Xenopus tropicalis: one gene and its partners. The protein of the gene in region 2 interacts with the protein of the main gene of each other region in a pairwise test. Links are inferred from orthologs where the notes say so. Each region holds a gene or a part of one and is shown on either strand. Other genes may lie near its edges. The genes, in order: pin4, zbtb9 and eukaryotic translation initiation factor 4E type 2.

The links.
Region 1: the proteins of zbtb9 (region 2) and pin4 interact in binary tests that used the Homo sapiens proteins (3 or more experiments, as listed by UniProt). The two-hybrid records come from large-scale screens. The link is inferred for Xenopus tropicalis from reciprocal best matches to the Homo sapiens genes ZBTB9 and PIN4.
Region 3: the proteins of zbtb9 (region 2) and eukaryotic translation initiation factor 4E type 2 interact in binary tests that used the Homo sapiens proteins (3 or more experiments, as listed by UniProt). The two-hybrid records come from large-scale screens. The link is inferred for Xenopus tropicalis from reciprocal best matches to the Homo sapiens genes ZBTB9 and EIF4E2.

What each region holds. Positions count from the first base shown.
Region 1 is NC_030684.2:39,710,766-39,722,676, forward strand, and holds the start of pin4 (peptidyl-prolyl cis-trans isomerase NIMA-interacting 4), read left to right. Parts: upstream 1-5,584; 5' UTR 5,585-5,784; coding exon 5,785-5,821; intron 5,822-6,526; coding exon 6,527-6,594; intron 6,595-7,670; coding exon 7,671-7,790; intron 7,791-8,953; coding exon 8,954-9,112; 3' UTR 9,113-10,684; intron 10,685-11,911.
Region 2 is NC_030684.2:71,790,071-71,800,142, reverse strand, and holds zbtb9 (zinc finger and BTB domain-containing protein 9), read left to right. Parts: upstream 1-1,703; 5' UTR 1,704-1,763; intron 1,764-1,786; exon of another isoform or gene 1,787-1,883; intron 1,884-1,889; exon of another isoform or gene 1,890-2,059; intron 2,060-5,250; 5' UTR 5,251-5,259; coding exon 5,260-6,486; 3' UTR 6,487-9,105; downstream 9,106-10,072. UniProt on the Homo sapiens protein: May be involved in transcriptional regulation.
Region 3 is NC_030681.2:101,901,556-101,913,230, reverse strand, and holds the start of eukaryotic translation initiation factor 4E type 2, read left to right. Parts: upstream 1-5,424; 5' UTR 5,425-5,451; coding exon 5,452-5,471; intron 5,472-7,430; coding exon 7,431-7,545; intron 7,546-8,649; coding exon 8,650-8,784; intron 8,785-10,187; coding exon 10,188-10,292; intron 10,293-11,644; coding exon 11,645-11,675. UniProt on the Homo sapiens protein: Recognizes and binds the 7-methylguanosine-containing mRNA cap during an early step in the initiation. Acts as a repressor of translation initiation.

The DNA of each region.
Region 1 (11,911 bases), about 32 Mb from region 2:
ATGTTGGACTAATCTTCTCTTTAACTTCCAGCATTTTAGCCACAAAGAGAATAAGACAGTTAGTCAACCCGAACATCTTTATAGTGGATTTATATGCCGCATTCACTACATAAAAACAGCTCTTTGTGATGGAATTTTGGGCAGGAGGGGGTCTAAGAACTCACCTGAAGAGGAGTGGGCACTTTGATCTAAAGAGAACTAAGTATAAATTAAATGAATATTTGGGCTTTATACATACCAAGAGTTCTATGGGACTAAAGAGTAGGGGAGGATGATGAAACTGGCAGAGAGCTATGCTACACTAATGAGTCAGATTCCCATACAGTATGCATGTACCATAAAATGATCAGAAGTATATACCTTGCAGGTTCCTTCTCCTTTGCTGCCTGTATAACCCTACATCTGGAAGTAATATACACCAAGGATGTTATACACATCTAAGAGTTAATGAATGGGCAGGTACAGTTGGTTACTAAATGTATAAATATGTTACATTTAAAGGGGTTATTCACCTTTGAATTAACTTTTACTATGATAAAAGTGCTATTTTGCAATTGGTTTTTATTTTTTATTTGCATTTTTAAAATTATTTAGCTTTATGTTCAGCAGCTCTCCAGCTAGGAATTTCAGCAGCTATCTGGCTGCTAGGGTTCAATTTAACCTAGTAACCAGGCAGTGCTTTGAAAGAAAGACAGAAATATAAATAGCGAAGGGCCTAGATAAAAACATAATTAATAAAAAGTAACAATAACATTGTAGCCTTGTAGCCTCATAGTTTTTGGCTGCTGGGGTCATTTGAAAGCTTGAAAGAATCAGATGGGACAAATAAATAAACTATAACAAATAAAAAATGAAGACCAACTGAAAAGTTGCTAAGAATAGGCCATTCTATAACATACTAAAAATTAACCTGAAGGTGAACCACTCCTTTAGGTGGTGAGTACAATTTGGGGTTTTGTAGCTGTTGCAGTTTAGCAGCCGGGCAGCTACAGGTTGGAAGTCAGTACCTGGAAGGCTAAGGGAAGGAAACACATTTTTTTTTAGCTTGGCTTATGGTTCAGCTATGTTACAGTAGTTTTATTGTCTCATTATAATATATGCCTTTTTATATTAGAACATTGTGTAATCTAGTTTGATTGACTGATGCTTACGTAGGTCTGCCTTATTATAATAGTGAAATAAAAGGACATGAAGGGGGCGATTACCCTTTAGCTTATACAATGCTGTGAATGGTAGTAATCAAGTTAACTATGCAACTAGACTTTATGGCTTATAAATGGTTCCTATTCTATTCTCACTTTCTTCAAAATGCAAAGTAAAATGCCATCTGGTATGGTGACGGAATCTCCCACCACTGAAACTTCAAAGCAGGCTAAGTACAAGGCTAAATACTACTGCTATTATTACTTTACTCATATAGGCTAGCATAAGACAGTTTAAAGAGCCAAGGAGGCGAGGAAAGTTTGGCCTGTACAGCTTTTTATATCGATAGGCGAGAGGAGAAATCTCTGGCTTCTATACATTTATTGGGAAATTGCAAAACTGAGAGTGTGCCAAGGCCAGGGGACTGCTATAGATCACTTATCTGGCCAATAGAGGCCTAGTAGCTGTATTTAATTACATTCACTTCAGACACAGGTGCCTCATGGCTACTTCATACCTTTTCTTAGATCCACCAGTTCAGGTACCCCACAAGCTAAACACAGACCAATTCCAAAGGGGCTTCTCACAAAGCTGAGAATATATCACTATCCCATGGAATTGCAGTGTTCAGAGTCAATATAAAAACAGATTCTATACACTCACAGTTACAGTTCAATAACCATATAGTTCAACTAACTTGGGGTCGGTGCATTTTTGTAAGAAATGTATCACACCATGTATAAAAATCCAAGCAATAAAGGAGGAAGAGAGCACACAAGCCAGGAGTGTGGTGTACCAATGTACCACCAATGTGTTTATTGGGGAGTATTTAAATCCAAATTACCAGGCTTCCATCCCTTTTGTCAGCAATAACCTCATTGGAGGTACCTTGGGTACAACACAATCTTGGCTTGTGTGCTTTCTTCCAGTTTTACTGCTCGGATTTCACTTTTCAGTGTACTAACCTCTCTCCTTCTGAACTCTGAAGCACCAGCACCTCATCCTTTACATGGACTTCTGTCTGCTTCTACTGAAACCTCCATGTAGGAGACCTTCCTTTAGCTATTAATCTCATCACATACCACCTACCTACAAATAGGGCACATTGCAATAGGACTTCATACTACCATTTTCACTGGCATTTGGTATTTTTAATTCTCTACTTACACCAGAGGAGGGTGCCCAATTTAACCTAGCCAAGTGACTACCTTTTCTCCAAATAGGTGCTAAATAACTAAGAATTTCTGCAAAAATACACTACGGGTTATTTTACAATCCACAAACCCCATAACTGGAAACAACCACAAGTTGGTCCCACAATGCTGTCATTGGGGGGCAACCTTATATTGTAAACAGCTCCCCTTTACATATAGACTAACATTTTATTAGGCCTTGAAGTGACAAAATGTCAAAGTGAAAAGTTTGCCAAGGATTTCATTTTTTCTTTCCTCCTTTTCAATAGGTAGCATATGGACTTTGTATTGCACTGCATTATTGTTTTATGGTACATGGGCAAATACAAAGTTCAAGAAGAGACCTGACCAAGGTATGTGCAATAGTCCTGAAACAAAGTCACGGCTTTACTGCCAATGAATTGGATATTGCCATTAACTGAATGTTTTCATGGTGTACCTTAACTGCTCCAGCTTAAGTCTTAAACATTTATGTTGACTAACAAACCATATAGGGGCTGGAGTAACAAGCCTTCCTAACTTACTATTATTAATATGTCTATAACATACTAAAGGTCAGTCTAAAGGTGAGCAACCTCTTCAAAGGAGACCTGTCACCCAGATATAAAAAGCTGTATAATAAAAGTCTTTATAAGTAAACATAAAAATTCCAAAAATTTTTTTATTAAAACATCCATACCTATTATAAAGTATTTAAAAATCTCATCTGTAAATCATATATTGCTTGCCTCTCCTCTATCCCACAGACATAGAGGTGGAGAGGCCATTTGGCACTTCCTAGATGTCACTGCATGCCTCTCATTCCTCCTCATTAACTATTTTTGTGTACCCTGAGCATGGGCATCAAGTGCCAGATTCTGGAACACAAACAAGATTTTGGATGATGCAAACCTTGTCTTAATAAATGTTGTTCACAAAATACCTGCTTGCTTGTGATTATGAATTCCAAGACAACTAACATGAATAGAAAAGAATTTGAAATTATTTCTTAGGGTTACAGGTCCCCTTTAAGGACACTGCACTTGGCTGTTTTTTGGGCAAAGCAGCTTGTAGTTTAAAGGAGACATATCATATAAAAATCAAGAAAGTGCCAGTGAATTATACTCTAAATACAGAAGGATTGTGTTTAAAAAAAATGTGTTTTGGACTGATTTATTGAGAAATTCCACCAAAACCCTACTAGCCCCTCTCTGTTACACTTCATGAACTCTATGGATGTGCAGGGGGGGCTGGGGCACTCAGTACACTGCAATGTAGAATAGGACCCAATCAGCAGCTAGACTGACCTGATAGGGAACTGAAGTCTGTCTTTGCCTGTGTGAATGCAAGGTTGTGATTGGCTCTCCCCCTCCTGCTGCTGTGCTTCTGGCAGGGACTGCCCACCCTTCATTTGAAACAGGGACAGAGAACTGAGATGATCTATAAGGAGCTCCAATAAAGGGGCCATTTTTACAGATAGGATTCACTTTTAACCCAAAGTGAAACCAGCATCATATATTATTTATAATGGTCTACAGAATTAGTTTTTTTTCCCATTAATCCAATATGTCTCTTTTAGAGCCCTTAATACCCCTACAGACATGAATGTACTTTACATTAGTTGGATTTTCATCCCCTAAAGTTACTTATTACATGCTTTTGCAAAATTAATAAAGGTTACACACATTTCCACCGGTACTAATAGTACTTCCTATGACAGATTACTAAAAGATACACTATTTAAACAATCATTGGTATGTCATCCTTGCCACCAAGGATCCTAGTAGTGTAGTCCTATTGGTGTCCTTTATCCTATTGGTGTCCTACACCCTATTGGTATCCTATACTCTATTGGTATCCTATACTCTATTGGTGTCCTACACCCTATTGGTATCCTATACTCTATTGGTATCCTATACCCTATTGGTGTCCTACACCCTATTGGTATCCTATACTCTATTGGTATCCTATACCCTATTGGTGTCCTACACCCTATTGGTGTCCTACACCCTATTGGTATCCTATACTCTATTGGTGTCCTATACCCTATTGGTGTCCTACACCCTATTGGTATCCTATACTCTATTGGTGTCCTATACCCTATTGGTGTCCTACACCCTATTGGTATCCTATACTCTATTGGTGTCCTATACCCTATTGGTGTCCTACACCCTATTGGTATCCTATACCCTATTGGTGTCCTACACCCTATTGGTGTCCTACACCCTATTGGTGTCCTACACCCTATTGGTGTCCTACACCCTATTGGTATCCTATACTCTATTGGTATCCTATACCCTATTGGTGTCCTACACCCTATTGGTGTCCTACACCCTATTGGTATCCTATACTCTATTGGTGTCCTATACCCTATTGGTGTCCTACACCCTATTGGTATCCTATACCCTATTGGTGTCCTATACCCTATTGGTGTCCTACACCCTATTGGTATCCTATACTCTATTGGTGTCCTATACCCTATTGGTGTCCTACACCCTATTGGTATCCTACACCCTATTGGTGTCCTACACCCTATTGGTGTCCTATACCCTATTGGTGTCCTATACCCTATTGGTGTCCTACACCCTATTGGTGTCCTACACCCTATTGGTGTCCTACACCCTATTGGTATCCTATACCCTATTGGTATCCTATACCCTATTGGTGTCCTACACCCTATTGGTGTCCTATACTCTATTGGTGTCCTATACCCTATTGGTATCCTACACCCTATTGGTGTCCTACACCCTATTGGTATCCTATACTCTATTGGTATCCTATACCCTATTGGTGTCCTACACCCTATTGGTATCTTATACCCTATTGGTGTCCTACACCCTATTGACGTCCTATACCCTATTGGCGTCCTATACCCTATTGGCGTCCTATACCCTATTGGCGTCCTATACCCTATTGGCGTCCTACACCCTATTGGCGCCCTACACCCTATTGGCGTCCTACACCCTATTGGCGTCCTACACCCTATTGGCGCCCTATACCCTATTGGCGCCCTATACCCTATTGGTGTCCTATACTCTATTGGTGCCCTACACTCTATTGGTGTCCTATACCCTATTGGTATCCTATACCCTATTGGTATCCTATACCCTATTGGTGCCCTACACCCTATTGGTATCCTATACCCTATTGGTGTCCTATACCCTATTGGTATCCTATACTCTATTGGTGCCCTACACCCTATTGGTATCCTATACCCTATCGGTGTACTGCATTTTCCAACTATTTTTTTTATTCTCTAGTGGTAAAACCGTAACTAAGGCAACAATCAGTTCATCACATAAGAACCTTCAACTGCAAACTCGCCGCAGCAAATCTTTTTGTTTGGGACCTAGTTGTGCGTTCCAGGGATGGAAGCAGCGCCTCTCGATCCCGGAAGTGCAAACTCCAGACCCGGTGACGTCACACGTGCGACTGGCGCCCCGAATAGTCGCGGAGAGTGGAAGGAACCATGCCGCCAAAGGGGAAGGGAGGAAAGGGAGCTAAAGGTAATATGTGGAATATAAAAACCCTAGGTGCGTTGCTGGGAGCGCTCTGCAAACAGGGAGGCTACTGTCATGTTGTGCAAGTTCTTTCCTGGAAGCTGATTTACAGTTAAACATCTGCCTAATTATATTCACTGTTTGTTTCTGTAACGTGATTGAATGAATTCCATAGGCTATAGAAATCCCATAACATGCTGTTAGTGCAAAGGGAAATGGCAGCTAGCAACAGGCTAGAGTGTAATAAGGCTTGTCTTGTTACATATAAAATATTCTCCTCAAACATCTGCCGCAGGGCAAAGACACACGGAGCTGCTTAGTAGCAGCTACTAAATACCAGTAAATACCCTGCCATAGACAATACTAAGAATTGCCTCTGCTAAAACATGCGTAGAGACAATTATCATTAAATCATCAGCATTGTCTATTTTAGTAGCCGCTTCTAGTAGCTCCATGTGTCTTCACCCTAAGGGTCTTTTGGGGCTGGTCCTAAATTTTGAAGGATACCAGTGGCAGCATTACATTACTGTGTGCAATGTTTTGTTGCCATAGATACCTTGCGCTCCAGCATGTGCTTATATTATTGATTCTGTCTTGAGCTAATGTCTTGCTAGTAACAAGTAAACAGTATAAAGATAGCAATGTAACTTCCTAACGTTAGTAGTGCCATGATTATGCCATGATAATGATTTTTTTTAATCTGTGGTTTAGGTGGAGCAGCCAGCGGGGAAGCAGCTGATAAGAAAGCACAAACGCCCAAAGGGGGAAATGCTGTCAAGGTAAAGTATAATTTATTGTTTTATATATTTATTGGGGGGGGGGGGGGGCAGTAATTTTTTGGGGTATGTGACAGAGGTAGATTGCTAGCTGCTGCTTTTATTTGGAAGGTTATGACTGTTTCCAATGGTGGGATATAATAGACACATTTCTCAGCAGGATACAATACAATTCAACTCTAGCCAGCTACAAGTAACAGCTACTAACCTCACTGTGTGATGAAAACCTTATTGTAAGACCCATGTCTATTAAGTTTGTTGCTGGAGGATTCTGACTGGAATGTCCTCTGTCTAGAGACTTAAGGTGGCCATACACGAGCAGATCCGCTCGCTTGGCGATGTTGCCAAGCGAGCGGATCTTCCCCCGATATCCCCACCTACGGGTGGGCGATATCGGGGAGCATTTAGGTAAAAAAAAAATAATCCGATCGTTTGGCCCTGGGGCCAAACGATCGGATTATGTGGGCGGCAATGGGGCAGTCGGATCGGGGACCGCATCAACGAGCCGATGCGGTCCCCGATCCGACCGGATTTTCTAACCTGGCCGATCGAGATCTGGCCAATTTCAGGCCAGATATCGGTCGGCCAGGCCACTCTGCTCTCCCCATACACGGGCCGATTAGCTGCCGAATCGGTCCAAGGGACCTATATCGGCAGCTATAGTCGGCCCGTGTATGGGGACCTTAATAACCCTTTATCATGTGACTCTACATACGGCATTTATACTGCTGCTCTATTACATCTCCAGATTTAAACTATTGATCTAAGATTGTTTATTATGACTGTTATAATTGCTAATCTTTACACATGTAACATGCAATTGAAATACAGTAAACTCAAAAAAAAGGGTTCTGTTTGGAGCACAGGTAGTTAATGAATGGAGCTGGGCTACTTTGCTATGGTTTTCAGATCACTGCAGACACAAACAGGCTTTTAAATGTCCCTCATGGGAACTGTAACATAAACTAAAAATCCTAGTATCCTGCAACGGTCTCCCTGTGTTGTTGGAGGGGCTTTTATGTACAAAGTATCACTAGTGTGGATTAGTTTGACCTTTTCTGATTTCCCCTCTCGTCTAGGTGAGACACATTCTCTGTGAGAAACATGGCAAGGTAATGGAGGCAATGGAGAAGCTAAAGTCTGGCGTGCGCTTCAGTGAGGTGGCAACACAGTACAGCGAGGACAAGGCTAGGCAAGGGGTATGGCCTTATCTAAATAAGATAATATTCCATATTGCTAGTATGATCTTTCTATATATCTACAGCAGGTATCTTCCATAAAAACACTTAGATCCCCTTTAAGTGAACCTAAACATTACAATTGCTCAGAATCTTATTTACAGCACCTATGATTTTTTTTTTTTTTTATTTCAGCAATTTTTAAGATATTAGCAATTATATACTGCTAATGTTTGGCTCATCTTAGCGGCTGAGAAAGAGCTGCTGTGTCAGCAACTGCAGGCTAAACTGGATATTCCAGCAGTCACAAAGTCTTATGGAAACACCACTTTGCATATACTGTCAGGGTCGGACTGGGCCGCCGGGACGCGCCTGGCTGGGGGCACCTGCAGGGCCCCTGGGACAGGAGCCCCGGTGGGCCCTTCACCCCCCAGTCCGATCCTGTATACTGTTGATATCATAAAAAGCAGGGGAGTAGCTCGGAAACTATTTTATTCTAAGTGAGTTGAAAGGAGGAGGAAATCTTGGAGAATAAATCTTTCTACAGGAAGTAATGTTCCGCACATTCTTTATAATATATCCTACAGGATCCACAGCGCATTCCCTCTGGTTTTATGAGTCATAATGGGCTATCTTTAAAGGGCCAATATACTTCCTTTTTAATCCAATTCCTCCAATAGTGCTTCTCTGGTTTTATGAGTCCACAATGCATTATCCTTAACAGAGCAGTATACTTCCTTTTCAGCATGAGTGCAATGAATAATCTGGGCTTCATATAACTTTTTTATATTGTTTTAATCACAAAAAATGAGCTAAACAGGGAAATTGAAGCCACTCTGTTTGGGCCTCCAGGGGTAGATAATCAGAGTCCCTAAGTATGTGGTAACCTGGCAAGGGAGTATCCCAGTATATACACAGTGTTGGTTCTTTAGGACTGTGATTGGCTATTTAGTAGCCCCATTTAAACTACTAGTCTGCAGAAGGCTCTGCTTGGGGTGTGTATCTGGGCTTCCAAACTTGCCTCCAAGCCACAAATGTAAAAATGGCACCGACTTTGAGGCCACTGAAAACAAGATTAAAGGGGGTGGGGAGCAATACGTTCACTGTTCGGGGGTTACTGGTTTACGTTTTTATTGAGAGAAAAGCAGCTCATTAACATCTGCTTTATTTCACCACTTTTGCAGGGGGATCTGGGCTGGATGACAAGGGGCTCCATGGTGGGACCTTTCCAAGATGCTGCTTTTGCCCTTCCAGTCAGCACAATGGACAAACCTGTTTACACTGATCCTCCTGTGAAGACAAAGTTTGGATATCATATCATTATGGTGGAAGGAAGAAAATAAGCAAACCAAGCAGGACAGTGTCCCTCACTGCCAATTACCTACTACAGCAAATTGTGTAGGGGGTAAATTCAATATGATATTCTTGTACTTTTTGTAGCATTTCTTGCACTGATAGCAAGGAAAGATGACCCACAACTCTCCAGTTGGTGTTAAAATACGACTCCCAACATCTACCCAGATGGCAAGGGATACAGAGGAGGTATAATATCCCCCAAAAGAATGGTGGTCTGATTTAGCCACTTCTGTGTATAACAGAAAATGTCTAAAAACCGCCCACAGGCCAGATACTATGAGTGGCCATTCACAGTTTACTTTTCATTTGTTTCATTCTTGTGGTCCCAGTGCCCAAGTGACTTTAACTGCAAAAAGTGAAGATACGCTGCAGTTCCTCATCTCTTCCTCACCTACTGATGCACCAGGCACTGACAGATATAGTACATCAGCAAATTACATTTTCCAGTATGTCCAATTGACAAACTGACTAATATCCATGTTACAGAGATATTAGTTGGAATTATCCCCCCCCCCCAACATTCACAAAAACACTTTGTACGATTCTATCGGTATATATAGGATTAATTTATGGCTGTGAACCCACTTACTGTAATTTGCTACTACAATAAAACCCCATTCTTTGGTTATAGTCCAGATGTTATTTTTGGATTCCTGTTAAGGAACCTCCTCCGCACCAACTCATTGATTATGGAATATTTTTCGGTTTCTGTTCATTTATTATTTGTGATCCTCCCAGTCAGGTAAATAAATGTCTAAAATATGTTTTTTACATACCCATATAAATGTCATATTTGCACTTTCTACTGTCACATATTTGAAGAAGAGGAATGTGCCAAAGAAACTGCTCAAGATGGATCATTTATGCATTCAGACAAGCTATAGAAGGATTCTGAGAGGCACCTTCCCTGAAGTAAATGGCTAAACAGCAAATTATTCTAGCAGTAAGTTTCCCCCAAGCAGGTAGCAACATGAGCTTATAACACTAGTAGGTTTGCTATACAACTTATTTTACTTTCCTTTATTACACAGACAGTAAAAAAATCAGTGTCTATTCATTGATTTATTTTGTGCACAGGAAACACATGGTGCCAATGTAGTTTACAGCTGTAGAAGGTATTTATTAAACCATAAATAGTATTTTCCGCATACACAATTGAAAATATCAGCAGTTCTGTTATAGCCAAGAGGCACTTTAGTAGGGGTAGCAGATTATTTTTATTCCAATTGCTCTAATCCAGAAATGCCAAATGCTGATTGGTTAAGAGACTGGGAAATTCAGCCCTGTTGCTTTGCTACCCAAAGTTTCTGGGTATACATGTATGGGATCCCTATCCGGAAACCAGTTGTCCAGAAAGTTCCGAATTACAGAAAGGCCATCTCCCACAGACTCCATTATAAGCAAATAATTCTGATTTTTAAAAATGGTTTCCTTTTTCTCTGTAATAATAAAACAGTACCTTGTACTTGGTCCCAACTAAGATATAATTACCCCTTATTGGAGGCAAAACAAGCCTATTGAGTTTATTCAATATTTAAATCATTTTTAGCAGACTTACAGTGGTGTGAAAAACTATTTGCCCCCTTCCTGATTTCTTATTCTTTTGCATGTTTGTCACACTTAAATGTTTCTGCTCATCAAAAACCGTTAACTATTAGTCAAAGATAACATAATTGAACACAAAATGCAGTTTTTAAATGAAGGTTTACGTTAAGGGAGAAAAAAAACTCCAAATCTACATGGCCCTGTGTGAAAAAGTGATTGCCCCCCTTGTTAAAAAATAACTTAACTGTGGTTTATCACACCTGAGTTCAATTTCTGTAGTCACCCCCAGGCCTGATTACTGCCACACCTGTTTCAATCAAGAAATCACTTAAATAGGAGCTACCTGACACAGAGAAGTAGACCAAAAGCACCTCAAAAGCTAGACATCATGCCAAGATCCAAAGAAATTGAGGAACAAATGAGAACAAAAGTAATTGAGATCTATCAGTCTGGTAAAGGTTATAAAGCCATTTCTAAAGCTTTGGGACTCCAGCGAACCACAGTGAGAGCCATTATCCACAAATGGCAAAAACATGGAACAGTGGTGAACCTTCCCAGGAGTGGCCGGCCGACCAAAATTACCCCAAGAGCGCAGAGACAACTCATCCGAGAGGCCACAAAAGACCCCAGGACAACATCTAAAGAACTGCAGGCCTCACTTTCCTCAATTAAGGTCAGTGTTCACGACTCCACCATAAGAAAGAGACTGGGCAAAAACAGCCTGCATGGCAGATTTCCAAGGCGCAAACCACTTTTAAGCAAAAAGAACATTATGGCTCATCTCAATTTTGCTAAAAACATCTCAATGATTGCCAAGACTTTTGGGAAAATACCTTGTGGACCGACGAGACAAAAGTTGAACTTTTTGGAAGGTGCGTGTCCCGTTACATCTGGCGTAAAAGTAACACAGCATTTCAGAAAAAGAACATCATACCAACAGTAAAATATGGTGGCGGTAGTGTGATGGTCTGGGGTTGTTTTGCTGCTTCAGGACCTGGAAGGCTTGCTGTGATAGATGGAACCATGAATTCTACTGTCTACCAAAAAATCCTGAAGGAGAATGTCCGGCCATCTGTACGTCAACTCAAGCTGAAGCGATCTTGGGTGCTGCAGCAGGACAATGACCCAAAACACACCAGCAAATCCACCTCTGAATGGCTGAAGAAAAACAAAATGAAGACTTTGGAGTGGCCTAGTCAAAGTCCTGACCTGAATCCTATTGAGATGTTGTGGCATGACCT
Region 2 (10,072 bases):
GGACCATAAAAAGGGGATACGCCAGCTTTGTGTTTAGTTTCCCCCAAAAGGCACTCAGCCCCAGAAAAGTAAGATATATTGATACCCTTATGTAGGGGAAGGGATTTAGTTTTATTAACAACATCTCTTATGGGAGGCTTTGGCATAGCTGGAAGATACTGAGCCCCACAGGAAAATCATTTAAGGGTCCCTGTAAACTATCTAAATACTATAATGAAATTCATATGTTAGTGCCCCACTTGGCCTCCTATACCTTGTCTATATAGCTGCACTCCTGCAGGGATCTCTCCACTAGGCACTAGTCTTGGGTAACTTTCTTCTCGGGTCCATGCTGCCTAGAGATTTGTATCCGCAACTGTCAGAACAATAAAAGAGAAGGGAGAATTGAACTGAATTGATATTTTGTAATGAAAGTATATTGGAGGTAGGTTTCTGGAGGTAAGGAGCCTGAAAGGGGATTTTATTTTTGACTTTAGATCCCCTTTAGGATCAGATCCACCTTTTCAGGTCACATATTCCCAGTATTTGTCTGTATATAATTAAAAAAGTCTCTTCTCACATACCATTTTTCTTGACTGTGTCATATGATATAGTTGTGTCAGTAAATAAAAAAATATTTTTAACAAAGAAGTATCATATATATGTAATTGCAGGGGCTAAGTATCAGTGTCAGAATGAGATGCCAGGTGCACACTGCCAAAACTTTAATTCCTCCTCTCCTCCTTCAAACTCTTTATTATCCTAGTCTCTTTTCTCTACATACTAACGTTTATTCATCCATTTACCAAGCTTCCATGTTCCCATCCAGAAATAGGCTAAATAGTTAGAAGCAAGAGGGCCCACTGACACCTGGGCCCACAGGGAGTTTCCCTGGTATCCTGGTGGGCCAGTCTGGGACTGGTAGGTATAATTAAATATGAACTTTGGACAGTGGATGCTTGCATTGTTGTACCAGTGCAACTTTGCCTCAAAAATGTGTCCAGAAGGGGGAAGGGGGGGCCTGCTGCATGCCCTGCACCTGGGCCTGGGGAGGTATAGTTCCGCTACTGTTTGGAAGCATAAATCAGTTTGGTGTAATGATCTCTTGTACCTGTTATCAGTGTTGGACTGGAATACCAGGGGCCCACCAGAAAACCTTAGAACATGGGCCCACTCTCCAAAATATTATTCTCCTATTACATGCTAGCATCTATTTTTCCATCTATTATTTGTATTTGTTCCCATTCAGAAATAGGGAATGACCATGAAACAGGCCAAATGGTTTGGAGCAGGAGGGCCTACTGACCCCTGGGCCCACCGGGAGTTTCCCTGGTATCCTGGTGGGTCAGTCTGACACTGCCTGTTATAAACTTAAAATATACCAGAGAATGCATATCACCACATAATTTCACATTTAAATATTCCTTTTTATCTGTACTTCTTCTATTTGCTCCAGCTCCCTATTTTGGTCCATCACACTAAAACGAATCATTTATTAGTTCTTTGACCTGGTTAGTAATTTGTATTGGATAATGTATGTGAAAGCAGGCTACTCAGCCTGGAGCTTTGCAGGCAATAGTAACATAGTGCTGTGAGAGGCAGATCACTTGGCACACCACACAGCTATAACCCTCTATGGAGCAGTTTGTATCATAGCCACGGTTTATTACAGCACATTCATACTACTTGTGCTTGTGGTAGGTTCCTAAAGGAAAGAGCGCAATATATCCCCCTTCTGGTCTCCAGGGGTAACTACAGGTGTGAGCGGCGCTCTGAGACAAGGGGTAAGGTAATGTTCGTCCATGTGATACAGGCCCGGATGTTTCCTAGCTCGTTTTCCCGGGGATAGCGCCTACTTGTCCCTCCTCCTTACTCTCGTAGAGATGTGACTACGGAGTCCCAGGGTTGGTTATACTTGTCCCTGACCGCGTTTTGCATGGCTCCAATTTGATGGTTTCCCAGGGTTACACACGTTTGTCCCGCGTCTGGCCTCCACGGGCCTGGCTATGTTTGTCCTGCCGCTGGTGCAGTGACGGGCTGCTGTATTTAGGGAGCTTCAGGGGAGCAGGGAAGTAATACGGTATGTTTCAGGGGTGGGGTTTATAGCGCCTTTGTGAGCAGTGCACTTATCAGAACTCACAAACCTGTGTCTAGTCTGTGGCCTTCTAGCTAGTTTGGGACTACAGTTCCCAGCATCCTTCACATACAGCCGAACTACAGCGGTAGAGTCACTATTTACAGTAACGGACACCAGTAGCAACTATGTACCATAAGGCCACAGGCTGTATTGATTGGGTAATGGGTGTGTGGGCCTGGCTGGGAAGGGAACAGGTTATCGGATAGCATTTTGTTATATGTACTTGTATTTTGGGCCTTATTGCTCCTTGTCCTCCCTCAGCCCTGTCCCACTGCCTGATCGCTAGGGGAGACTAAGGTACAAGCTCGCAGGGGGACACATAATAATGGGACACATAGCCCAGTAAGGAATGAGGGATAACTGGGGCAGTGCTGGGCATCACTTTCCTACCATCACTCCTGCCATGTAAATGGCTGCTAACAGATATGGAATTGGCTGCCCTTTATATGTTATAATGTTTCTCTGATGCAGATACATGAAATCCATCATTAGCTGTGACCAAACAAAGCCTCACACGGGATATTGTGTTCAGGGGAGACAGTATGTAGCCATGACAGGTGCTTAAACCAGTGATTTCAGGCAGATATTTTAGTATGTGAGTGACTTTGGGCATTTTAAACATGTTTCTTCGGCTGATAAAAAATATGTGGTGATCAAAGTGCAGAAAACATGCCTTTTTTGAAGGGTGAGCGCTTACGAGAGCCTGAGGATTGTCCAGCAGACAGTCACACTGTTCTACCTGGTGCCCAGCACTCTATATACTGAGCTTTTACATAAGTGCAGTGATGCCAAAGTAAAGACGGCTTGTGGGCACATAGCAGGGACTATTTCTCTGCACCTTGCTCAGAAAAACTGTTATACATTTGCAGCCCTGCACTGGTAATTTATTTAAAGAAGTAAAAGTGTATACAGTCCCTAATGTTGTGGCCCAGGCTTTTGGGTGTCTTGTAAAAATCTTATTTATAGTCTGATTATCAAGAGAGCTTGTTGGGTTGCAGCATATACACAAATATCCCTGGTGAAGCCTCCTTGGTTGTTTAAAGATGTTGCATCATTGACAACCCTGCATATTAGACTTAGGTACAATTATAATATTAGCTAGGCTTGTGCTCTCCAAAAATGTTTATTAATTCTGAAAAGTATAACTATAAACACCAATATTACTCCATGTGATATCTACACCAGGGGACAGGAGCCTAGTGTGGTACTACATGCCTGTCAGTGCCTGGCAGGATGGATCTTGTCATGAAAATGCTTGTGTGCACACAGACAGGAAGATGTCTTTCTGTCAGCCAGGGTTTGAGTAGATTGTCTTATTCTCTAAAAGAAAAAAACCCTGGTGTAGCATTAATTGTATAGTTTCATTTTTTAATGGGAAAAAGCAGTAGTTGCAGTATTAAACAGAGGGTTATTTTAGTGTATTGTATAGGTGCATTGACTCCAAAAATGAATAAATAAAAAAGTTGCCCTGCATGTTTCATGCCTTTCATGAACACTACGACGTAGTGCCCTTGAGCAGTATGAAACCATTTGCACTGTATCAATTTACTTCTAAAATATTTAAAATATTTTTTTGTATTTTGGAATTCTTGCATCCTGTTCCAAAATAAGGTAGCCACACGTAAAGATGGCCACATGTGCCAGATTCAGCTGCCCATATCAGTCCCTTAGAGCGATTCAGCAGCTTATTTGCCAGTGTATAGGCACCATCGACAGGCCTTCCCAAACGGCATCTGACCTGAACCAGTGGCACCTATGCCTGCCATTTTAATTTGATTGTTTGGCCCTAGTAAGTGGGCATATCGGGAAAAGATCCTCTTGCTTTATGACATTGACAAGCAAGCAGACCTTACAGTGTATGGCTACCTTTACGAAACACAGTTTTGTGAAGGTAAACTACCACTTGAAGTCTGCCCCCCAGTGCATGTATGTATATATATAATATATTATATCAAATTATTCTTTATTTAGCGCCAACATATTCCATAACTATCCACACCTGTCCCTGCCCTAGCGGAGCTTACAACTTAAGGTGCATATAGCATTCACACACGATCATTTTTCGATCAGAAGCCATTTATGATAAATGTTTTTTCAGTGTGGGAGGAAACACAATCATTGATAACGCATTAAAACTCATAGTACCCTCACTGGAATCAAACCTATTACCCCAGCACTCCAAGAAAGCAATGCTAACAGTTACACCACTGGTTCTTCATCAAGTACATGCATTTTGTCACTGTGCACCCCTTTATACTATACAGCCTTTTTTTACATAACAATTTCAGTATGATCTGACAAATTATTGAATTATCGTATGGGTGGTGTGCACCCAACAATCGTACATCTGCTGTTCTTTCCTCCGACATTGGTCAGAGAATTGATCGGACAGGTTTATACATTTTTGTCTTTAAACAGTGAAATTTGATGGGATGGACAGATTTCGATCCCTTAACAATTTAGAAACTGTGCATGTGTGGGGCGGTGTTGAGATCACAAAATGATGACAAGTGTCATCAAACAGCAGTAAATATCTATGGAGTCTCAAAAGAGAAAGGAATCTCACAGATATAAATTAAATATTGTTTACTTTTTTTTACATAATGTACAGCAACAATCAAAAACTGAAAAAAATACAACATAGATTGTCCATAGGACATTACAAAATTGTTTGCAGGACCAAGCAAGCAGCTACCACAGTTTTTCCTTTCTTTTTTAACTTTTAGCATATACGTCACATCCTTTTCCGGTTTGGGCTTCAACTAGACAATATCACTTGAAATGTTCCTTTTCGTTGATGGACAGATCATATGCGATTGTTTTATAATAAGCATGGTTGTACATTAATAAAAAATCGTTTACAAATCTACACGTGTATGGCCACATTAAATCACTGTGTAGAAGAGGACTTGGTATTGGGTGCAGGTTGGGAAATAGCTGGTTAGTGTCTGGTTGGGGTATGACCCCTAATAAGTCACAATTTACTGTCTGCTAATGACTCTTCCTATTATATAAATATATTCCTCCCCCCTGCCCGAATGGAGAGTATTGGATTTCATGTTTTAGCATCTTTTATCCGTTGAGAAGCACTTGTAATTTTTGCTAACTTCATTTCATTTTCTCTGTCTTACCAGGTAGCCACAATGCCTGGAAGTGAGAGCATCCAGCTAGATTTCCCCCATTACAGCTCTACACTACTAGACACCTTGAACAAACAACGATTGGAGGGAAAGTTCTGTGATTTGTCAGTTCAGGTTCAAAGCAGAGTTTTTCGAGCCCATAAAACAGTTTTAGCAGCTTCCTCTCCATATTTTCATGACAAGCTTCTTCTAAATGACACAAGTTGCTTAGTTCTTCCAAATGTCATCCAGCCTGATGCCTTTGAGAACCTTTTGCAGCTCATTTACTCTGGTCGGCTATGCTTGGAAATGGAGACTTTGCCTTCCCATCTTCTAGTGGCCAGTGGCTTGCAAATGTGGCAGGTTGTAGATCGATGTTCTGAGCTGCTAAAAGAGAGAGAAATGCATCATCCCCAGGCTTGGTCTAGCCGTGCAAGTGAGAGTCAGTCACCCAGTAGCAGTTTTCAGCCCCCACGCGATGATCCCCCACCTCCATCAGTCTCTTTGCCAGTTTCTCTTGGCTGCTCTGATGATGAAGAAGTGATAAAGGTACGTGTGTCAGAAGAGGAGGAGGAAGAAGAAGACGATGCTCAGAATGGAGCCAATCTTTTGGAAGAGGCTGTTTCAGCTAATTGCTCTTATGCCCTTCCTTCCTCCTCATCCCCAGCAAGTCCAAAAGTTTATTATATTAAACAAGAGCGGCCAGACCAAGATAGTGGTTACTTAAAGACATTTGGCATGACAGAGATTCAGGCTGATTATCCCTCAGAACTGAGCTTTGTTCTTCCTCCTACATCATCATCATCTTCTGATGTTTCTCTCTGCTTGCCTCGTAAAATACATGATGTGTCAGATTCCCAGTCCTTTACTCTGTCAAAACCTGTGGACCTTCATGGTAATGAGATAATTTCCCATGCCCTTCAAGCCCAAACTATTCATGCTCCACTTAAGCTTGTTGCAGCTCCTGATGGGAAAAAGTTTGGTTGCTTGTGTGGCAAACGCTTTGCAGTGAAGCCCAAGCGGGACCGGCACATCATGCTAACCTTTAGTCTTAGACCCTTTGGCTGTTCTGTCTGCAACAAGAAGTTCAAACTTAAGCACCATCTTACTGAGCACATGAAGACTCACGGAGGAAATCTGTATTCATGTGAAGACTGTGGTCGTAAATTTAGGGTACAGAGCTGTTTCCAGAAACACAAGGAGGTGTGTAAAGGACAGAGGTGGGCAGGGGCATGTTGGACCTATAAATAACGTTCATTTCTTTTGGACCCTTATGAATTGTAGTCTAAGTCATCTAAAGCAAACAGTATATGCTGGATTTTACTGCATTGAAATGAATATGGAGGAGCATGCAGTAGCTAGTGATCTGCCCACCAAAACCTATTAACTTTTTCAGCCTTTATTACAAGGAAATTCTGACTCCACAACATTTCTCCTTTTGCAACATTTTGAGCTGCTTCTTAAAACCCAAAGGCCATGCATGAGAACTGTCTAGCAGAGTCTGAGCAGTTCAGATCCTGGATGATAACAGTTTGCCAAAACTGGGTGATATATTCACCAGCACCGCTATATTGATAGCAAAGTTACTGTTATGTATAAAAAAAGGAGTCTTTGGGTAAACTGTCTGAAGCTGCATTTCGGCACTGTTGGTAATTATCAGACATAAGTTAAACCTCAGCTTACTGATGGGACTGCACTGTTGCATTGCTGTTTTAATGGACTCCTTCACATCTAACCTACGTTTTCCATAGGAAAATATATGGACCATATTAGCTCGCTCCTCCTTGTCAAGGTTATTGCAGTAGCCGCAGGCATTGATTGGTTACAGTTTAAGTGACATTTGCACGATACATGTAGGCAGAAAAGCATGACCATCTGAAGTTAGTATGTAAATAACTTTTACATATCTACAATCATGTATGTTGTGAGTATATCATTCTTTACATGTATAAAGGCTTGTCATACGAATCATAGTTAGCTAGAAGCACTGAATGTCTGAAACAGTACAAATGTTTGTTTCTGTCACTTTGTGGGGGAGTAGTCATTTTATGGTGTAGGTACGGGAAGAAGCTTCTTGTTACTAGACAGTAGACCAATAACTGTGATGAACAGTGTCTCTGTGGGGACTACCTAAATCTGATATTAAAGCAATATTTCTTACTGTAAACAAGTATAGTTTGTGTCAGGAACCTAAAGAACTCCTTTAGCGTGTTTCTCTGTAGTGCTAGGTATTGGCAAGTGAGGCCAAGCTCTGATTTCAGATGAACAGTCATACTGATTTCTATTGGTGGGAAGATCAGTAGTTCCTTACTTTAAACTTATAAAGTAATGCTGGTAGAGTAAATCTATGAGAGCGAATAGCACATACATAAGTGATTAGGCATAACCGTTTATGCGTCGGTAACTAAACCAGACCTTAGTAGCACCACCAGTGATCTTTAATAATATAGCACAATAATAATTGGTGATATTGTATGATACAGATACTTTTAGCAATACAAATACCAGTGCAGTTCTGCATTCAGGTTGCTGAGACTGTGTCCCTGGGGAATCAGTGCAGTATGCCAGTATGTTAGTGCCTTCTGGCTAGGCATACGTAGGGTGCTCTTAATGCTAGCATGAACACTGCTTGTGCCCTCTGTTATTTGAAAAAGTAAAACCTTGTTTTCAGCAAATAGCAAAGAGAGAAATCTGTGCCAAGTCCCATTTTCCCAAAGGACTAACCAAAGTAAGCAAATCTGTAGTACTTAAAAAAAATGTATCTTTGTATTTAGCCAACTGAAATATTAATATATGAATGTATATTTACATCTCTATTGTAGGACATCCTTAGCACATATAGAAGTGTTAAAGACACTATCTATTCTGCTTTGGGTTATTTTAGCCAATATTCTGTTTGGCTGTAAAAAAAAAAAAGTTTTTTTTTAACCAGAAGTCCCGCTTTTTATTTAGGTGTTTAGTATCAACTCTGCTGTGTTCAGCCATGTTTTATCTGTAATCTTAACAAGGCCCCACTCTCAAATCCTTGCAGTAAGAAACTAAACATATTGGTAAATAAAAGAATGCTTCCTTTATATAATGCATATAATGTTATAGATGACATAATAACATTTCTAAATGCGTTATGGAAGCTTCATTTCCTGGTGTTACTGGTCTCTTTGTAAATTGTAAGCCTATTTTAACCAAATAGTTTAACTTTTTGTCTATGTATGACCTACAGTGACCAACAATATTGGATGATTTCTCCCAGAATAGACTGCACCTTCAGCCAAAATTGAAAACAAGTTTAGGAGGTCTATGGGATTATCCATAGGTGCGTCCAAAGTTTACAGCATATGCGTATATAGTGCTGAACATATATGTATAGCTTCGATGGCTATACGTATAAGGCACTGGCTATGGCATACTGCAAGCCATAATCCATCTGGGAATCCACATAAGGCACTCAAAGCCCCGAATAAAGGAAACATAGACATAATTGCAGGAAGATAAAAAATAAAAAGCTTTACACATTCTGTTCCTTGGGGCACTTAATCATACATAGGCTACTGCATTTGTGCCTCACTTAGTATTAGGACAAATTGACAGACACTTGTCTGTAGTTCTACTTTCCTTTTAACCTCTGCTGAAAGGCTGTCTGAAGGCCCATTGACTGGATATTCTTGTAAGAGAAATAGAAGAACTGGTTCATTGGGTAACCCTTATTAATCACAGTCCTACTATGATAATCATTTGTCAGCAGTTGTCAAATGCCCCCCTAAGTGGTTGATAGCAGTATCAGTCCAATGATGCCTATCATCCTGTTCCTCTAGTCTGATTGAAGACATATGCATCTTAAACTCTCTCTGGAATAAAAAAAATAAAAAACGACTTAGCACTGATTCATGTCTTCTCTGCAGATTGCTAACTCTCCGTTACAGTGTGCAGCATGTGCTTAAATGAAATATATTTGGGGGCCAGGGTTGTACCAGATCTAAATGTTTAATAGCAATCAAACTGGCTAGCTGGTGTTTCAGTTGCATGCATGTGTCTTATATGGGGAAGGGGTGACTGCAGAAACTGTCAGACAAAGTGCCAAGGTAGAATATCTTCTCTTTCAGAAATACCACTTGGACTAAGAATTCAGGAATTGGATAAATTTTAACTCACTGGCGGAGAGGACATACGTACAAAAACACATTGGACATTAGTCTTCCAAAGCTCACACCTTGTTGCCCCCCATATATAACCCCTTACTTGAGATTTCCAACACCCCCACCCCAAGCCCCAGTATATCCACCAATCAAAGTCTGATGTTCTTGTTTACAGGTCCTTCTCAAAAAATTAGCATATTGTGATAAAGTTCATTATTTTCTGTAATGTACTGATAAACATTAGACTTTCATATATTTTAGATTCATTACACACAACTGAAGTAGTTCAAGCCTTTTATTGTTTTAATATTGATGATTGTGGCATACAGCTCATGAAAACCCAAAATTCCTATCTCAAAAAATTAGCATATCATGAAAAGGTTCTCTAAACGAGCTATTAACCTAATCATCTGAATCAACTTATTAACTCTAAACACCTGCAAAAGATTCCGGAGGCTTTTAAAAACTCCCAGCCTGGTTCATTACTCAAAACCGCAATCATGGGTAAGACTGCCGACCTGACTGCTGTCTAGAAGGCCATCATTGACACCCTCAAGCAAGAGGGTAAGACACAGAAAGAAATTTCTGAATGAATAGGCTGTTCCCAGAGTGCTGTATCAAGGCACCTCAGTGGGAAGTCTGTGGGAAGGAAAAAGTGTGGCAGAAAACGCTGCACAACGAGAAGAGATGACCGGGCCCTGAGG
Region 3 (11,675 bases), on a different chromosome or scaffold from region 2:
TTCCAATTCTGTAACAAGATATAGGCTTCTAAATGTCTAAAAATACAAAAAAAAAATCAAATTTTCCATAATATAATCACACATACTAGAAACAAAAATTATTTTATGCACGAATATACAACTGATTTGGAAAGTCCCATGTCTTCTGAATGTGCCAATACCAAATATATATAGTTTTATGGAGATTTCTCACTTGTATAGGTCAAAAACTCCCAGCAGTACACTACCAAATTTCCAAAGCACTGCTTCAGAAAGCTGCATACTTTAGATTTCAAGGCCAAAAATTCCACTAACAGAAGGTTTATCCCAGAAAATTTTACATTTTTGGAAAGAACAGATTCTGGGGAATACAGAATAGGCACAACTGTCTGTCTACTCCAAACTATCAAGTCTCAATGCTTTCCTAAAGTTATTGGTTTTTATCAAAATTTGTGATTTTTTTTTTAAAAATCGCTTCAAAGCTTCCAGTCTATGGTATCTTATCTCCTACAGGTCATAAAGTAACCAAATAAAACACCCTAAATATGAATGCCAGGGGTCCACTGAACAGTTTGATGCCCAATATGTATAGGTTTACTTAAGTATGTGGCATGTAGGGGCCCCAATGTGAACATACCCCATATGTACTGTCATTTCTGTCATTTCAGCTCCTGCAAAATCAACACATTTACATCATTATATGTGGGATAAAGCTAGTAAAAAGTACGCTCACCCCAGAAAGTCATATATTTTTGGAAAGTACACATTCCCCCGAATCTAAAATGGGTACCCATGTCTTTCTACTCCAAAGTACCAAGCCGCACAGCTTTTCTAAAGTTAGCAATTTTGATGACATTTCCAAAAATCCCCACAAAGCTTCCACTTTGCAGCATCTTATCTCCCACATAGCATTAGGTACCAAGATAAAACACCCTGAATTTGAACGCCAGGGGTCCACTGAATAGTTTGATGCCCAATATGTATAGGTTTACCTAAGTATGTGGCATGTAGGGGCCCCAATGTGAACATACCCCCATATGTACTGTCATTTCAGCTCCTGCAAAATCAACACATTTACATCATTATATGTGGGATAAAGTTACAAAAAAGTACGCTCACCCCAGAAAGTCATATATTTTTGGAAAGTACACATTCCCCCGAATCTAAAATGGGTACCCATTAGAGCTGGGCGGTATGACCAAAAATTTATATCACGGTATTTTTCAAAATTATATCGGTGTCACAGTATTTGACGGTATTTTTTTTTTTCCATGCATCATTAGGTGTTAACCCCATTTCCTAATAAATTAGAGAATAATTACTGCAGTATTGAAAATCAGAGTCAGGCAAGCGAAGGATCGGCAACAGAAAGTCGTAAGGTAAATCAGGCAGGCTTAGTTTCCCAGGCAAGGCCGCAGACAACATAGCACAGGAGGAGGCGTTTGATAGCTTTAAATACCCCCCACGAATGCGCAGAACCGGCGCCGTCAGCGCGTCACGGGCGTGCACGCTTTGACATGTACGTGCACTTTGACGCACGCGCGCAACGACCCGCGGACAACGGGGCGTGCACGCAAGGAAGTACCCTGACACCCCGGTATTGCGGTATCTGAAAAATGAATATAGTTTTAAAAAAAAAAACACCGGTATTCGGTATTAAACGGTATATCGCCCAGCCCTAGTACCCATGTCTTTCTACTCCAAAGCACCAAGCCGCACAGCTTTTCTAAAGTTAGCAATTTTGATGACATTGCCAAAAATCCCCTCAAAGCTTCCACTTTGCAGCATCTTATCTCCCACATAGCATTAGGTACCAAGATAAAACACCCTTAATTTGAACACCAGGGGTCCACTGAACAGTTTGATGCCCAATATGTATAGGTTTACCTAAGTATTTGGCATGTAGGGGCCCCAATGTGAACATACCCCCATATGTACTGTCATTTCTGTCATTTCAGCTCCTGCAAAATCAACACATTTACATCATTATATGTGGGATAAAGCTAGTAAAAAGTACGCTCACCCCAGAAAGTCATATATTTTTGGAAAGTACACATTCCCCCGAATCTAAAATGGGTACCCATGTCTTTCTACTCCAAAGTACCAAGCCGCACAGCTTTTCTAAAGTTAGCAATTTTGATGACATTTCCAAAAATCCCCTCAAAGCTTCCACTTTGCAGCATCTTATCTCCCACATAGCATTAGGTACCAAGATAAAACACCCTAAATATGAACGCCAGGGGTCCACTGAACAGTTTGATGCCCAATATGTATAGGTTTACCTAAGTATGTGGCATGTAGGGGCCCCAATGGGAACATACCCCCATATGATCTATCATTTCAGCTCCTGCAAAATCAACACATTTACATCCTTTATGTGGGATAATACTACAAAAAAAAGTACGCTCACCCCAGAAAGCCATATATTTTTGGAAAGTACACATCCCCCCGAATCTATGATGGGTAAACATTTCTTCTTGCTTCAAAGTACCAAGCTGTAAAGCATTCCTAAGTTTGTAGATTTATATGACATTTCGAAAATGTTGCAATTTGCCACATTTATCTCTCACAATTTCTTGATAAAGATCAGATAAAGACAAATCACCCCAAATAGGAACACCAGAGGTCTACTGAACAGTTTGATGCCCAATATTCATAGATATACCAAAGTCTGCGGTATGTACTGAACCCAAAATGAAAATAGCGCATAAGGATTTCTCGCCTGCCAACTCAGCTTTTGCACACAGAGCCCCCTGTCAGTGTATTATGTGCCAAAACGTCCCCTAACTATACAGAGACCCCCACAAAACCATATATTTTTGAAAAGTACACATTCTGACAAATCCAACAAGGGTAAAGAGTCCTTTCTACACCAAAGTACCAATCTGCAGAGCTTTCCTAAAGTTATTGGTTTTTATGACATTTCAGAAAATCGCCTAAAAATGTTGCAATTTGCCGCATTTATCTCACACAATTTCTTGCGTACAAAGGCAAGTCACCCCAAATAGGAACACCAGAGGTCTACTGAACAGTTTGATGCCCAATATTCATAGATATACCAAAGTCTGCGGTATGTACTGAACCCAAAATGAAAATAACGCATAAGGATTTCTCACCTGCCAGCTCAGCTTTTGCACACAGAGCCCCCTGTCAGTGTATTATGTGCCAAAACTTCCCCTAACTATACAGTGACCCCCACAAATACATATATTTTTGGAAAGTACACATTCTGACAAATCCAACAAGGGTAAAGAGTCCTTTCTACACCAAAGTACCAATCTGCAGAGCTTTCCTAAAGTTATTGGTTTTTATGACATTTCAGAAAATCGCCTAAAAATGTTGCAATTTGGCGCATTTATCTCACACAATTTCTTGCGTACAAAGGCAAGTCACCCCAAATAGGAACACCAGAGGTCTACTGAACAGTTTGATGCCCAATATTCATAGATATACCAAAGTCTGCGGTAAGTACTGACCCCAAAACAAAAATAGCGCATATGGATTTCTCGCCTGCCAACTCAGCTTTTGCACACAGAGACCCCTGACAGCGTATTATGTGCAGTAACCCCCCCTAACTATACAGAGACCCCCAGAAAACCATATATTTTTGGAAAGTACACATTCTGATGAATTCAAAATAGATAAAGTTATTTTTGTACACCAAAGTTACACCTGGCAAAGCTACGCTAAAAACAGATTAGGAACACTTATACAGGGATAAAATGCGATAAAACCACAAAAATTGTGCAAATCAGTGAAACAACAGCGTAATTAGTGGTCAGAATATCTGATCCAATAGTCACGCTGTCAAAATAAACAGTTTTTAGGTAAAAGAAACTAAAAACAAAGTGGTAAAATGAAAAAAACAAAAACAAAGTGTTTGTGTATACATGTGTAAAAGTTGTGTGATAGTGTGTAAGTGTGTATATGAGTGTAAATAAGTGTATAAAAGTGTGAAAAATAAAAAAAAAAAACTGCTAAAATGTGTGCTGTAAGTGTGTATAAATGTATGTAAGTGTGTAAATGAAAAAAATAAAAAAACTCCTTACCTGTCCTGAAGACCCGATTGCCTCCTCCTCAGTGGGCCGGCCGGCAGGGGGGAAGTAGGAAACGCGATGCGATCGCATCTGCTGATTCCTGGAGGGTCCTGCAAGCGATTGTCTCGCAGGACCCTCATGACAGCCCCCCTGGCAGATGCCGCCGCTGCAGAGAGCAGCGCTTAAATGCCAACGACGTATGGGATTTAGATGCAAAGGACAGACACACATTTAAGTGTGTGTCTGTCCTTTGCATCTAAATCATTTATTTACTACATTCAAGTGCACCCATAGAGCAAGCTATAGTGCGAGGTTGTTCTCAACCTTAACGACGTATGGGACACGTCATTGGCATTTAAGCCCTTTTACTGCCACGACGTCGTTGGCAGTAAAAGAGTTAAGAGCCTTACTGTGGCACTTAGGAGCCACCGTAGGGCACTGCTACCATGTTTTTTTTTTTTTTTTTTTCAATTATTTTTGAACAATTTTTGGCGGTTTCACAACAGTTCACACTTCCAATCATGTACTTTGAAGGATTAACACCTTCATCAATGAGCATCATGGTACCACTGTGATTGTATCATACCTTGTAACACCTGTCAGTTTCAGCTAACACCTAACTGAACAAGTTCAATGGAACCATTGTGATTGGATGTCTGTGACTCTACTACCATCAAGAGTTTAAATACCGGGGAATTCCCTACCAGTCATTTGAACTGAAGAAGCCACTCGGATGAGTGGTGAAATGTTTTCAAGATAAACTCAGAAAAGTCCAGTTGTTTTAGACTTAATTCTTCTAGATACTGTATATCATGACCTGGATGAATGAGAATCTTCATAGACATATTGACCCTCCCATATGTTTAATTGCTGGAGTATTTCCCTTCAATGCCAAAAAATAAAAATTGTTGGTGAACTTTGGATAAAATACTTTTAGCTCCTAGTTGTTGTCTGTGCTGCAACCAAATTCAATTGTAGAAATCCAAAAAGTAGGAAAAAATCTTAAGCAGGTTTGCTGCCTGCAAAACATTTATTTTGGGTAGTGTTACCCATAATAAATGTTTTGCAGCAAACCTGCTGAATTATTCTAGTCACATAAAATAAAAGTTCTGCATTATCAATAAGCTTTTACGTAGAGCTGTTGTATTTCCTATACCATTTAATAATTGCTCAAACTTATTTTTAAATCATATTGAATACAAATACGTCCTTGTACTTCCAGCTAATCTACCCAAAGCACACGGACCTAACAAGCCCTTATATAATAAAACGTCACAAAACAAACGGCGTCTGCGTAGTTTGCATTATATTTTTGTCCCGAGTGGTAACATCTTCCTTGAGACTAAAGTTCCGCATATGCACCGGAAATGGCAGGTTGTGTGCGGAAGAATGCTAGGGTGGGAGCGGAAGTGGTCAGGAGAGGAGCGGAGCGACAATGAACAACAAATTCGATGCGTGAGTGTGGAAAGACTGAGCGGAGTTATTGTACGGGTCTTCCTGACAGTCACCATATGGCCTGCTCGCCAACCCAGGCAGCATGCTGCCATTTATTAGTATAGGCGCTCTAATTGCGCTGTAGCTACTGGATTCATGCCCTGTGCCAATTACACAGCCATTGGAACAGTTTCTTGTAGCGTTCCATTAATCTGACACACCCATAATGCGCACTCGGTAGCGGGAAGGATGCGCTGCACATTTTGCAGTTTGTATGCAGCAAAGTGAATCAGCGCCGTGCCAGGTGCTTGTAGTGTTCGGTTATTAAAGGGATTTCATTATCATTCTGTTATTAAAGGCATATATGCTCCGGAATAATTATTGAATTGTTATGTGAGCTAATGTTTCATATTTAGTAATCGTGTAGCTTTGGGGGAAGGATGATTTATTGTATCCTTGTAGATGTGGAAATGCATTTCATGGTACTGCTAATTTTATCTGGGAAAAACAACAGCCTTGTCTTATGTTAGGTATCCTTGGGCTTGTCAGATGCTTTTGCTGGATGGAAAAGTTTCAGGCTGACCCATGCTTGAACGTTGAGACTACGGGAGGAGGCAGGGAGTCATTTTAAAGGGGACCTGTCACCCTAGGAAAAAAAATCCAAATTGTTTTGTATTGTGTTTGTCAAGCAAAATGAACTATACTTACACTATGTCCTTCAGTTTTGGAATTCACAAACAGGAAGGCTCCATTTTGTGGACAATGTTATTAGGGCAAGCTTTGTATTATTCCAAAATCTTGTTTTTGAGCCTGATGCCCATGCACTGGATACACATTAGGTGGTGAGGAGGGAGGGGGAAAGTGAGTGCTCAATGCAAAGTGAAAGTAATTCTCTGCCCCACCTCTATGCCTAAAGCATAAGGGTGGGGCAGTCAATATATCATTGACTGCTGAGATTTTTAAATGCCTTTATAATGCATATGGATGTGTTAATAAAAAAGGAATTTGGGTTTCATGTTTAATTTGAAAATTACTTTCATTATACAACTTTTTATGTCTGGGTGACAGGTCCCCTTTAAAAACTTTGCATTAAAAAACAAAGCAGACTAAGAACCAAGAATTCCACCCATTTTCCATAAACCTTAGATGACTTGAAATGCCATCTACAAGTCCAAGAAATTGCTTCCAGTCCTTAGTAGAAGGATGATGGTAGGAATTTCGCTGGATTTTAACCCGCTGATGCTGTTGTGAGGTGAAGACTGGACCTGCAGGTTTCATGCTGTACATGTGTTATAAATACCTGGCATGGTGTAATAGTGTGTGAGAATGAAAGATGGCACTGTCCCTTTGCTTTTTATAGTTGTGTTGATGTTTATACATAATAAATTGAAACTTTAGTTCCTTGCAGCAAATGTGCAGCCTTGAAGTCCAGAGAATCACATACATGTCAATGTAAATCACAGGGAGCAAAATCACATGGAACCGAAAATCCCAAAAAAGACTGAATCCCCAAAACAACTGCATTTGTATACATCTGTTTATACATCTGTTTATATTTGTGATATACAGGACACTTACACTTTGGCACAAGAGTTAGGAAGTAGGATTTCTGGAAACAAAATACCAACCTTCCAATATTTTTATCATTCTGCCCAATTGATAACATTTGCATCAGGATTAAATTTTTCCAGCCTGGCTGGTAAAATATCGACCAGGAGGCAACCCTAGTTATCAATGATAATGTCCCAGATTGCACTGCATTGTAATTAAAAGGTACCAGAAAATAAAATATATGTATGTTTACTGATTCACTAATCTCTGGGTTGTTTTAAATCATTTTGGGATTCACTTTTATATACTATTTATTTATTATTATTATTTTTTTTTTTTGCTCTTTTTTCCTGTAGCTTCATGGTTGGCTTCCAACATTTTCTCTAAACCTCTAAACGCATTGATTGTTTATTTTATTTTTCTTTTAAGTCTAAAAGATGACGACAGTGGGGATCATGATCAGAACGAGGAAAATGGCACACAGAAAGACAGTGAGAAGGAAAAAAATGAGAAGGAAAAAAACCAAGGCTCTTCTAGGAAAAAGGTGTGACCTAAAGAACTACAATTTACAAGTGAATATTTTAGGGCCGTGACCGATGGGGACATTAGTCGCCGGCGACTAAATCTCCCCATAATGCCATCCCACCGGCTAGATTGGCATACGCGGCAATTTGCCGAAGTTGCCTTGAGAGAAAATTTTGGCGCTGCATATGCCATCCCACCGGCGATTTACATTCTAGCCGGTGGGATGGCATTATGGGGAAATTAGTCGCGCGGCGACTAATCTCCCCGTCTGTCACAGCCTTGAAAGTGATACAGTGTGGCCATACAGAGACAGAGTGTCATCATACTGGTTAATTGGCTATATGTTAATGCAATTTAACCATGGGCTTAGGTGGCAAAATTGCAAAGATGTAACAGATCAGCCTGTGGGCTGATTGGTATCATGATGCCACTATGGCCTATGCATTACCAGGTTGGTCATTAATGGAATATGCACTTGGGTCATTGGTTTGCATTTTAATTGCTCTTAAAATTCTGATTTCATCTTCATATAAGTAACAACAATAGGCAAACACAATCTTGCATAAACACAGTCAGTTTTAAGTGAACCCTGTTGCTGGTGTTCAAAGGAACCAAACTGCCAGTAGTATGACATTCCTTGTTGCCAGGGGTATTTACAATTTGCAGTGGCTAGACTGGTTGAAGTTGTAACTACAGAAAATAAAGTACCTTTAGGACTTCCTGGGAACCAACTTGGTCCCACATTTTGTTGTGTTTTAGGTATATTAGAGACATGCACTAGGCACCAATACACCTATATACCAATATATCCTTAATCAGGGGGCATTTACACTTTGTTTTTTTTTGTTGTAAATTTAACATAGAAGAGCACAGTGATTTTGGACTAGCCATAGGTGAGTGCTTAGACCGATTTAGCAGTCCAGTTCCTCTGCGCTTACATGACAAAGCTGGTGACATAATTCTTGCCTTTAGAAAATAATAAGTTAAACGCTATTCAAAACAGGGTACATTTACCATGTAAATACATTCATGTTGTGTTTGTTCAGTTGCAGCAGAACATATATAATGGTTCCGACGTGTCTTGTTGGCAACTTTAATCCCTGTAATATTCTGTGTTTCTTAGAGTGTTGTGCCAGGTCCAGCCGAGCACCCCTTACAGTACAACTACACATTTTGGTACTCACGCAGAACTCCAGGAAGGCCAACCAGCTCCCAGAGCTATGAGCAGAACATTAAACAGATCGGTACCTTTGCTTCTGTGAGTGTACTGCCTCTAATAGCATGACAGTTTTGCATAGTCAGACATGTGAGCAAATGCAAACTATTATTTAAAGAAGCATTGAGAAAAAGGTATACAGATTATATCAGTTCATCCAAATGTCAAATGTGCAGGCTTATCTAATGTGTATGTTGTCATTTGTCTTCCTTTGTGTATTTATATGGGCAATGGCATGAGGAATTTAACACTGTTTTATCACTCTGAGGGATTGAGACAAAATACTGCAAATGTTTCCCATTTAAAGTGAATAGGAAAGGCCACCATCACATCTTGTTCTGCTTATTGACACATGTCTCAAAAACATGTGGCTCTGCTTTTTTTGCACAATACATGCCTACTGCTAATTAAGGTGAGGTGCCATTCTGATGTTTTCCATTCACTTTGAATATGTCCCTCGGAACAGTAAATCACCAAGAGTCCATGTAAAATGCTTATGTTATACAGCAGGGATCCCCAACCTTTTTTACCTGGGAGCAACATTTCAATAAAAAAAAAGCTGGGGAGCAACACAAGCACAAAAGCTTTCCTAGTAGGTAACCAATAAGGACTTAGATTGGTTAATTAGTAGCCCAATGTGTACTGGCAGACTACTAGAGGCTCTGTTTAGTAGTACACATGGGGGCTGATTTACTAACCCACGAACGGGTCGAAATGAGTCCGATTGCGTTTTTTTTTTGTAAAGATCGGTATTGTGTGATTTTTTCGTATTTTTTGCGATTTTTTCGGCGTTAAAACTTACGCGAAACTTCACACCTTTTAAGTTTTAACGCTACGAAAAAGGCGCAACTTTTCGCGTAAGTTTTAACGCTACGGAAAAATCGCAAGATTTTACGCAACTTTCGTAAAGGCTACGAAAAACTCGCGTTTTTACGCAAAAATCGTATTGGTAACGAAAAATTCGTAAAGACGCCGAAAAGATCGCAAAACATACGAAAAAGTCGCAAAATGTTCGTTTTCAAGTCGGAACTTTTCCAATTCGGGTCGGATTCGTGGGTTAGTAAATCAGCCCCATGGTCTTTATGCCTCCAAAACATGTCTACAAATCAGAAATTCAAAAATGGGCACCAACTCTGAGGCCACTGGGAGCAACATAGTGCTCATGAGCCACTGGTTGGGGATCACTGTTATACAGCATGATAGTATAATTTATCTTCACTTAATTTAAATCAGTAAACTTTGCTTACAGTTATATCAATACTCCACCTACTGCTGGTTTGTTGGGAAATCATATTAAAAGCAGGCCTAAGATTGTTTTTTATGCAATGAATTTAGGTAATTGGTGGCAAATTACTGTTCCACTATACTTTGCAAGAAACTGAAAAGCATTTGGAGATACTGCATGGGTTTAACTAAGCTAATGCTGTTTATGTACTTTGTCACAGGTGGAACAGTTTTGGAGGTTCTATAGTCACATGGTACGTCCTGGGGACCTGACTGGGCACAGTGACTTTCACCTCTTCAAGGAAGGGATTAAACCAATGTGGGAGGTAAGAATCAACAAGATAATAGGGCTTCTCAAGAAAATAGCAGTAAGCAAAAAATGAAAACTAAGGTCAGTGGTTGTTGGAATTTTTCAGAAGCCCCACTTATTGGTCCAACCTCTGGTCAGGACCCCCCTTAACTCCCAACAATGGTACAGATGTAGAAAAACCTGTGCCTCAACACAGTAAGTTTATGTGTGAACACCCCAGTATAATGGTAAGGGATTGAGAAGACTGTAATTGTGAAATGTCACAGGCTGCATGGGTACATCCCAGCATTATGTGAAACCTGTTTTGTAACACTACAGCTTTATAATGCAAGGATTATCAAGCCTGTATGGTTTTACCCCAGAATAATATCAGGACGTCTCCTTCGCTCCTCTCAGAGCCTCTGTTTTTTTACACCATCCACACCTACTGCGCGCTCTCATCTTAAACCTTTCTATCTTGCTGCTGCTTACCTCTGGAACACTATCCCTGAATCCCTCTGTAGGGAACACACACACTCTCTCTTTAAGAAAAAGCTCAGCTGTTACTTTCTGGAGCACTAAAACACTATTTTGCCTAGTCCTGCGCTTAAGGGCAAATGCCCATACCTGGTGCACTCTTACTTTCGAATTTGTGCCTGTATGTTACCCAACCACTTAGATTTTAAGCTCTACGGGGCAGGGACCTCCTTCCTACTGTGTCTGATACCAAATGGCACTTATAGCTTTATGGCTTTAAATATGAAACAGTAGAATGATATTACCTTTAATTAAGCCACTGCTTTGAGTTGCTTGCTTTTTTTAAAATCTCGTTGTTTACTATGTGACAATGACAATAAAGATATATTCTATTCTATTCCCTGTGCATTAATATATGTTTATTGTATTTATTTATTATAACACTTGTCCTCCCTGTGTGTAATTTTGTAAGATTGTACAGCACTGTGTACACTTGTGGCGCTTTATAAATAAAGTTATACATACAAACATATATACATACATGCAGGACTGCTTTTAAGTGCAGTCCTGTGTGAGACTCTTAGAATTAGATCAGGTAGCAGGCACCAGTGTTAAGCACAGCACATTTCTAAGGGCTAGTTCTACCCCTTCCAGTAGTTTGTGCCATCTCTTCTCCTCCCCAAACTGGAAGACAATGGTCTGACATAAACTTTGGAAAGGGGAGTGCTAACAGGAATTTTGAGAAACAGGAGCAGAGAAGGGAACGAGAGGTAGAACATTTTATGGATAAGGATAAAGAAACATGTTGAAAATTAAATTTGCTGATCTTTGTCCATTCTTCTCATTATATATTTCAACGTTGAAGGATGATAAGTATAACGCTATTCAATTTTTTTCCTTCTCTCTGTATAGGATGATGCAAACAAAAATGGAGGGAAGTGGA